2 linked regions of the Danio rerio genome follow. The protein of the gene in region 1 purifies or fractionates together with the protein of each later gene. This does not show direct contact. Links are inferred from orthologs where the notes say so. Each region holds a gene or a part of one and is shown on either strand. Other genes may lie near its edges. The genes, in order: card11 and malt1.

What was found.
Region 2: the proteins of card11 (region 1) and malt1 purify together in Homo sapiens (affinity purification with western blotting; 6 studies listed by BioGRID and IntAct, with this or other methods). This does not show direct contact. The link is inferred for Danio rerio from reciprocal best matches to the Homo sapiens genes CARD11 and MALT1.

The regions. Positions count from the first base shown.
Region 1 is NC_133178.1:40,619,213-40,623,042, reverse strand, and holds part of card11 (caspase recruitment domain-containing protein 11), read right to left. Parts: coding exon 3,632-3,830; intron 3,536-3,631; coding exon 3,409-3,535; intron 1,661-3,408; coding exon 1,420-1,660; intron 1,240-1,419; coding exon 1,155-1,239; intron 1-1,154. UniProt on the Homo sapiens protein: Adapter protein that plays a key role in adaptive immune response by transducing the activation of NF-kappa-B downstream of T-cell receptor (TCR) and B-cell receptor (BCR) engagement.
Region 2 is NC_133180.1:72,224,473-72,229,020, reverse strand, and holds the start of malt1 (mucosa-associated lymphoid tissue lymphoma translocation protein 1), read right to left. Parts: upstream 3,005-4,548; 5' UTR 2,920-3,004; intron 1,138-2,919; 5' UTR 1,065-1,137; coding exon 916-1,064; intron 816-915; coding exon 649-815; intron 1-648. UniProt on the Homo sapiens protein: Protease that enhances BCL10-induced activation: acts via formation of CBM complexes that channel adaptive and innate immune signaling downstream of CARD domain-containing proteins (CARD9, CARD11 and CARD14) to activate NF-kappa-B and MAP kinase p38 pathways which stimulate expression of genes encoding pro-inflammatory cytokines and chemokines.

The sequences.
Region 1 (3,830 bases):
GGGCTCGCAGTGCTAACCACTGGGCCGCCGTGCCGCCCAATCAGAGGTAAAGGAGGAGAATAGGGGAGGAGGGGGGTTTCTTCCAAAACAAAGATAAAATGAGCTAAAAACTGTGGTTATTTATAGTAGCTTAGGGCTCATATGATTGGAAGATAGCGATTAGCAAATACGGGACCGGCCGTTATAAAAAAATTTTCTCCGTGTGCTCTGGTTTCCCCCACAGTCCAAAGACATGCGGTACAGGTGAATTGGGTAAGCTAAATTGTCCGTTAGTGTATAAGTGTCCGGAGTGTGAATGAGTGTGTATAAATGTTTCCCAGAAATGGGTTGCAGCTGGAAGGGCATCTGCTGCGTAAAACATGTGCTGTATAAGTTGGCAGGTCATTCCGCTTTGGCGACCCCATATTAATAAAGGGACTTAGCCGAAAAGAAAATGTATGAATATTTCAGTTAGCAATTTATTGTTTAACATGACTTATAGACATTGCACACACAGCGCACGGCATGTATTTGAGCGTCTCTCGAAAACTGACAACTCACCTGCACCCTCAACGGCTAGCAGTCATTGACTTGCATTGTATGAATCGCCAACGATCAAAAATGATTCTTCAACATTCTGTTGAAGAAAACCCTACATTTTGAAAGTCCAATTGGTGGGTAAATTTATAGCAGTTTGTAATTTGTAGACAAACTATCATTTTAAAGAGACTGACCATGTGAAAGAGATCCTAATACTTTGTATTGTTTAATTAATTAACATTTAAAACATGAATTGTCCATTTAAAGATGATTTATTTGTATAAAGTGTATGTATTAATTACTAAACTGATAAACTGCTTCTTCAATTTATTTTTGAAGGGTCACTCTTAGTTTTCCATGCAGCAGATGCATAAAACAAACAGAATAAATTAAAGTCATTTTGTCATTATAGGATAAAAAGAATAAAACAGTGAGTTTCTGCCAAAGAACTAAAGTCATCAAAATAAGTAAATTATGACAGACTTTCTAGGTTCTATAAGTTACCAAAGAGTATAAGTCTATAAGTTACTGTCCCTGTAATTGCCTTTCAGTTTGTGCAGAATCAGTTTACCCTTATCTATGAATGTGAAACCCAAAACAAGATGCATTTCCCCAACAATCCATAAGGAACTGACCCGGATCACTCTCAGAGTGTCGACATCTTCTCGGCCTCCTCGACACATCAGCTTCTGAATCTTCACCAAGAGGAGCTGCTGGGCTCTGGGGAGGAGGTGACAGCTAAGTTCACTTAACAGCTTCTCGTCACAGTCAACAGACATAAAAAAATGCACACCCACGCGCTCACCAACACACTGACAGGCAATCTGCAGCAGGCAATAGACCAGTGTTCACACTTGGTTTGAAAACCGACACAATAATGGTCACTCATTTCTTCCTCACCTTGAGTAACTCGGTATGGTGCCTTTGTCCAGGTCCTTGTCTGTGAAAGGGTCGACACGGGCACACAGCCATTCGCATTTGTCTTGATGCATGGTGTCCAGAACATGGAGAACCTCGTCACATCTGACATTCAGCGAGCAGTTATCAGACTGGCTGGAGATGTTCAGATTGAGACGTATGTAGAAGGAGTCTCCAGATACCACTGTGCCGTCTTCAATATCCTTCACCAGCCGCCTGTAGCCTGGAAACGAGAAAGCGGAGGGTCAAAGCAAAGCAACCTATACTTATCATGACAAACTATATATAATGTGCGTCGTACATCATTTTCCAACCCAGGCTCATTGGAGATACGTGGCCAGGGTTACATATTTAAGAACTGTGAAATATGTGCCCGAGGCAATATATGCTTAAGGTTTTTGTCTTCACAAAATCACAAGAGGTTGCAGTGTACATATTTGACGTTATACAAGTGTACAAATACGTTACTTGTGCACGTTTTCTCAAACACACCATTTTTCATTAATCCACTAGAGGCCGCCAGGTACATATTTCACAATCTTAAATACTTTGCCGGGGCAAATTTTCTCATCCACCAGAGGCCGCTGTGTACATTGGTGCATATCTCAACGTCCTGCTCATGACCGTCTGTAAAAAGAAGCCAGTAGGCCTGTTGTGTGTGTATCAGCTTGCAATCAACTAAACCTCCCACCTTCCCCTTCCCTAAACGCAACCGTTTGTTTTTTTTAAAGAAAACTAGAAGAGAAAAGCCATCACAAACGCATGCTTTTACCACTATTTCACATTATTGTCACTTTTTTTTTCTTTTTACCTGTAACCATTCTTAACGGGACTCGAGGCTGACGCCTTATGTGGCAAAGCGGTCACGCCGAAAAATAAAGAGGCAAGCGGACAGCGGTATAGTGCAAAAAGCAACAGAATTTTTCAGAAGTGTCATTCAACCATCTACTTTTTGTTTTACATACAAAACGCAACCATACGTAGGCCCATGCACATATTTTGCAGTTCTCAAATATGCAGTCCTGGGCACATACTCCCAATGAGCCTGTGTTGCAATTTTTAAGAGTGAACTCAACAATTGGGGTTACAGTTAAAAGGCTAAATATAATGTTTGAATGTATTTGTTTACTACTTGCAGTTTAGTTTAATACATGCAAACTAGAGCATGTGTGAGACTCATGCTGTCTCAACTTATGCTGTCTTACTATTTGAGCACATGCACTTTGTTTAAGCAGCTGATTTGAGAGGTACTTCACCACTACTTTGCTCTGTTATGTGAGATTATTGTTTAATCATATACACAGAAATCACAGCATCTTCATAACAGACCATCACAGTTAAATTCTGGTTTAGTTTTTGTTAGTTAGTTAGTTGGTTGGTTGGTTGGTTGGTTGGTTGGTTGGTTGGTTGGTTGGTTGGTTGGTTGGTTGGTTGGTTGGTTGGTTGGTTGGTTGGTTGGTTGGTTGGTTGGTTGGTTGGTTGGTTGGTTGGTTAGTTAGTTAGTTAGTTAGTTAGTTTTTTTCAGATTATTTAGAAATAAATGTAAAACAGTTATTAAAATGCACATCTTGGTAAACTCTTAATGGGTTGTTCTTAAATTTAATGTTTTATAATTTCTGGATGTGCTTTTGGATTACAAGGAAGAAAAAAAACTGAATCATAAATCATTTAACCATAAAAATCTGAATTTCACAAATAATTAAATAACATTTGAGAAAAACTAAAATAGATTTCATCTAAATATCATGGTGTGTGATGGATAAACAGTTTGTGTTCATACCAAACAGAGCAGCACATTTGATTCAGATAGAGCCATAAGCCAAAAAGACCAAAGCCTCATGTTTCTTTGGAGTCTGAATGCATTATTTGGCTCCTACCAGGACTGTTTCAAAGTATTCAACTCCTCTAACCTCCCCTATCTGCAAATAAATCTTTTTAAAATCTTCTATTTAAGAGTTATTTAAGACTCACTGTCATAGCTGGATTTGTAATGAAGATGCACTTGTCCAGAACATCTCTGCAGGGTCCAGTGGGCTTCTTCTTTAGTGCTGGTGTCTAAAGACACACTCTCTGCTTTTCCATGAACATTTCCCTCCAGCTAGAGGACAAATTAAACCAAAAGGTTAATTCTACTTCTACTACCTCAATAGGTGTTTTGGTTGCAAACACAAACAGGATTTCTAGTAAATCTCACCATTAAAAGATGAAATCCGACTTTAACTCCAGCCAGATCTGCATCAGAGCCAGACTGGACAGAGTTCACGAAGATGCCACTATCATTTCCACCAATCAGAGTGATTTCAGACAAAAGGTTTTCTCCAGAGAGAGAAAGGCTCTGAACCGTTCGCAATGAGTTTCGTGGAGGGCCTGAGGTCAATGAAGGACGAAAAGGT
Region 2 (4,548 bases), on another chromosome or scaffold:
ATTGTAAGATGCAAACTTGGAATTGCAAGATCTAACTCGGGATCTCAATATGCAATCTCAGACTCACAAGATCTAAACTTGGAATAGCAAAATCTAAACTCGGAATTGTAAAATCTAATCTCGGAATGGCAAAATGTAATATCGAACTCACAAGACCTAGACTCGAAACGGCAAGATCTTAAACCGCAAATTGCAAAACCTCAACTCAGAATTCCTAGATATAACTTGGAATCACAAGATCCAATCTCGAAGTGGTGAGATCTAAATTCGGAACAGCAAGATTTAATCTCGGAATTGCAAGATTCAACTAGAAATAGCAAGACCTAAACTCAAAGTCTCAAGATCTTGACTTAGAACTGCAACATGTAAAACTTATAATAGCGAGATCTAATCTCAGAATCGCAAGATAAAACTTGGAATCTCAACATGTAATCTTAGAATCATAAGATCTAAACTCGGAACGACAAGATCTTATCTCAGAATCGCAAGATCAAAACTCAGAATTGCATGATCTATCTCTGAATCGCTAGATCTAACACGGAATTGCGACATGTAAATTTGGATAAGCAAGACAAAAGATAATGTAATACAGCATTGCACAACATAAAAACTCTGCCTACTATGTTTACACTATTAAGGTAACTGTACCTGGAGGTTTAAGACACTGCAGGGCCTCTGTGTGACCCATGATCTGTAGAAACTCCATCAGTTCTTCCTGGATACAGCCCTGATCTCCGATGAGTTTGAGAAGAGTTCGGGAAGGACTACCATCTGCCTTCAAAGCCTTCAGAGAACACATGTCCATGTCTTCGAGACTGTGCATATGAGTGAATTCAGAAAGCATTACGAAATGTAAGTTTCAAAGTGGATATTACATTAGGAGGTAAAGTGAAGAGAGAACAATAGAGCTGTTACCTCACTTTAAACCGCTTGTCATTTTTCACAATCTCCCCCAGTTTTCGCCATCCTTTATTGTTGGCTTTATCAAGAGACTCACAGAGCCTTTTTAATACAGATTCTTTCAAGAAATTTATGTTCAAAGAGCTTTCATTCGATTCCGACATGTTTGAGAATAAGGCAGATGCACCGCTGTGATTGGTTTGACCTGCTGAACTGCTTAAGTAGTCAGCAAAGCACCTGCCAAACGGAAAATCAACATGACATTATTAGCAGTGTATACATCATATAAGAAATATAAGAATATTTATTTAACACCACTAGAATATGAATATATAACATATTAAAATACATGAATATTCTGAAAATATTTGTATTATAAATGTAATAAATGAGATATCAACTGTTGTGGCATTTACAAAAGTGATTTACAAAAGCGAATTAACTATTTATTCTGACCTGCACTTCTCAAGATATATAAAATGATGAGTGATCATACTAAATTGTATTAAAAGTATTACAAAATGTCACCATCAAATAACCCTTGATCTAATTATGCCTGACAAAAAAAAATGGTGCATTATCCTGCTGGAAGTAGCCATCAGAATATGAGTACACTTTGGTCATAAAGGGATGGACATGATCAGCAACAATGCTCAGGTAGGCTGTGGTGTTGACACGATGCTCAATTGGTCCTAATGGGCCCACAGTGTGCCAAGTAAATATCCCCCACACCATCAAACCACCACCACCAGCCTAATTCACTGATTCAAGGCAGGATGGAATCATACTTTCATGTTGTTGATGCCAAATTCTGACCCGATCATCCGAATGTGGCAGCTGAAATTGACAATCTTCAGACCAGGCAACATTTCTCCAATTGTTCAATTTTGGTGCGCCTGTGTGAATTGTAGCCTCAGTTTCCTGTTCTTAGCTGACAGGAGCGGCACCCGGTGTGGTCTTCTGCTGCTGTAGCCCATCCGCCTCAAGGTTAGTCATGTTGTGCGTTCAGAGATGCTCTTCTGCAGACCTCGGTTGTAACGAGTGGTTGTTTGAGCTACTGTTGCCTTTCTATCAGCTGGAACCAGTCTGGCCGTTCTCCCCTGACCTCTGGCATCAACAAGGCACTTGTGACCACAGAACTGCCACAAACTGGATATTTTCTCTTTTTCGGACCATTCTCTGTAAACCCTGGAGATGGTTGTGCATGAAAATCCCAGTTGATCAGCAGTTTCTGAAATACTCAGATCAGCCGTTCTGGCACCAAAAACCATGCCACCATCAAAATCACTTAAATCACCCTTCTTCCTCATTCTGATGCTCGGTTCGAACTGCAGCAGATCGTCTTGACCATGTCTACATGCCTAAATGCATTGAATTGCTGCCATGCGATTGGCTGATTAGAAATTTGCGTTAGCGATCAGTTGGACGGGTGTACCTAATAAAGTGGCCGGTAAGTGTATACACCTGTCTACATTAGACACACTAGTTTAATATCTTTAAATTCAGATTAGAGATCATATCAAAGACATTTTCTTCAAAATTAAATCCCTGTAATAATTTGCTCCTTCATGTTGTTCCAGTTCCTTAATTTATTTCCGTGAACAATTCAAATGAATGAAATGTCATCCAAAGTATTCAGAATCATCTAAAAGTGAAAGAAGACTTAATATTTTCCTTTATGATCCACAGAAGAAGTAAAGTAAGACGAGTGTGAACGGCAAGACGACTTTAAAAATGAAGACGAAAAACAAAGCAGTATTGTCATCCTTTGGTACGTCAACAACTTGTACAATCGCTAATTTCACTTTTTCCATCGCGCTTTGTCTAGTCAGCAAGCGAATATTGGTAAAAAATTATTGTTTAATAAAGTATTTAGCACTTCTAAGTTAGATTTTAAGATTATGAAATGTATGAACTGGACTAAACGTTCATGTTTCAAAAGTAGCCAAACAACATATCGGAATTCACCAAACACAAAACAGAAGGCTTGAAAAACACGCAGTATAAACATTGACATACCGTACACGGATTATGTGTTGTCATGTATCCCATTATTAAACGATACATGAATCCGACTGATGCGGGGAAATCCAAAAGTACGTGTGTGTGTGTGTGTGTGTGTGTGTGTGTGTGTGTGTGTGTGTGTGTGTGTGTTCGCATCACTTCCTGGTGTCTGACAAAGGGGAAGGTGTTCATCTCATCATGAGTACACTACTCCTGAGCAGCTCGCAGTGCTTAAACGGAAGTGTTTCAGTCAAACTCGCTCTTCACAAACATGTGATTTGGGGTTGTTTATTTATCTTTAAAGGATGATGGTTTTTTTATGAACTTTATTTCGTTATTGTGTGAGGAAAATACACATTCATGGATGCCAGTTTACAAGGGAAACCTCTCTTCATTGTACCAGAAAAAGAGATGTAGGCTAGAAACAATGAGAAAAGCATTAATTAATATATTGAATGGAATTAATATTAATTCATATCTGCTCATCTTTTAACATTTTTACTTAAAGACTACATATGTATGTATATTTTCTGCAATAACCCTTACTGTGTGTGCTGTTGGGGATGTTTTCATCCACTCTGAGGAGATTTCAAGTATTAATTTGGCCATAACTTTGTCTGTTTCAGCTAGCAGAATGTTTTTTGGTGGCAAATCTTATTTTGAAATATACTATATTTTGTGAAAATAATTAAAATTTAAAACAAAAAAACTCAAAGATACACTCTGGGCAAATTTACTTTCCTTTTGCCTTTTGTTATGTTCGGGATTGTTCGGGATGAAAACATCCACTGAATAAAATCAGATATATATATATATATATATATATATATATATATATATATATATATATATATATATATATATATATATATATATATATATATATACATACATATATATATATACACATATATATATATATATATATATATATATATATATATATATATATATATATATATATATATATATATATATATATATATATTCATTTGCTGTTAAATTTTAAATTAAAATTAAATCAAGAAGTGGCCCAAGAACAGAGCCTTGAGGTACCCCAGTGTTTAGATGCTGTAGGTTGGACACCTCTCCCCTCCAAGACACCCTGAATGACCTGTCAGAGAGGTAAGATCTGAACCATTGTATAACAGTGCCCGCAACGCCCAGTGACTCGAGCGTAGATAGCAGGATCTGGTGGTTGACAGTGTCAAAAGCAGCTGACAAATCCAGCAAAATGAGGACTGATGATTTAGAGTCTGCTTTAGCCAGTGTGAGATTCTCCACGACCGAGAGCAGGGCAGTCTCAGTTGAGTGGCCTTTCTTTAAGCCGGATTGCTTGTTGTCCATGAGATTGTTTTGAGTAAGAGGACTTGATTGAACACTACTTTCTCCAGAATCTTGGCCATGAATGGAAGCAGGGATACTGGTCTGTAGTTTTCAAGTAGCGTATGGTCCAGGTTGGGTTTCTTTAGCAGTGGGGTTACCCTAGCCTGCTTAAATGAAGTGGGGAATAAACCAGAGTCAAGAGATGTGTTAATTATGTGAGTCAGTGTTGGTATGACTGCAGGAGAGATGGCTTGCAAGAGATGAGAGGGAATGGGATCGAGTGGACAGGTGGTTGCATGGCTAGATAGCACGAGTTTG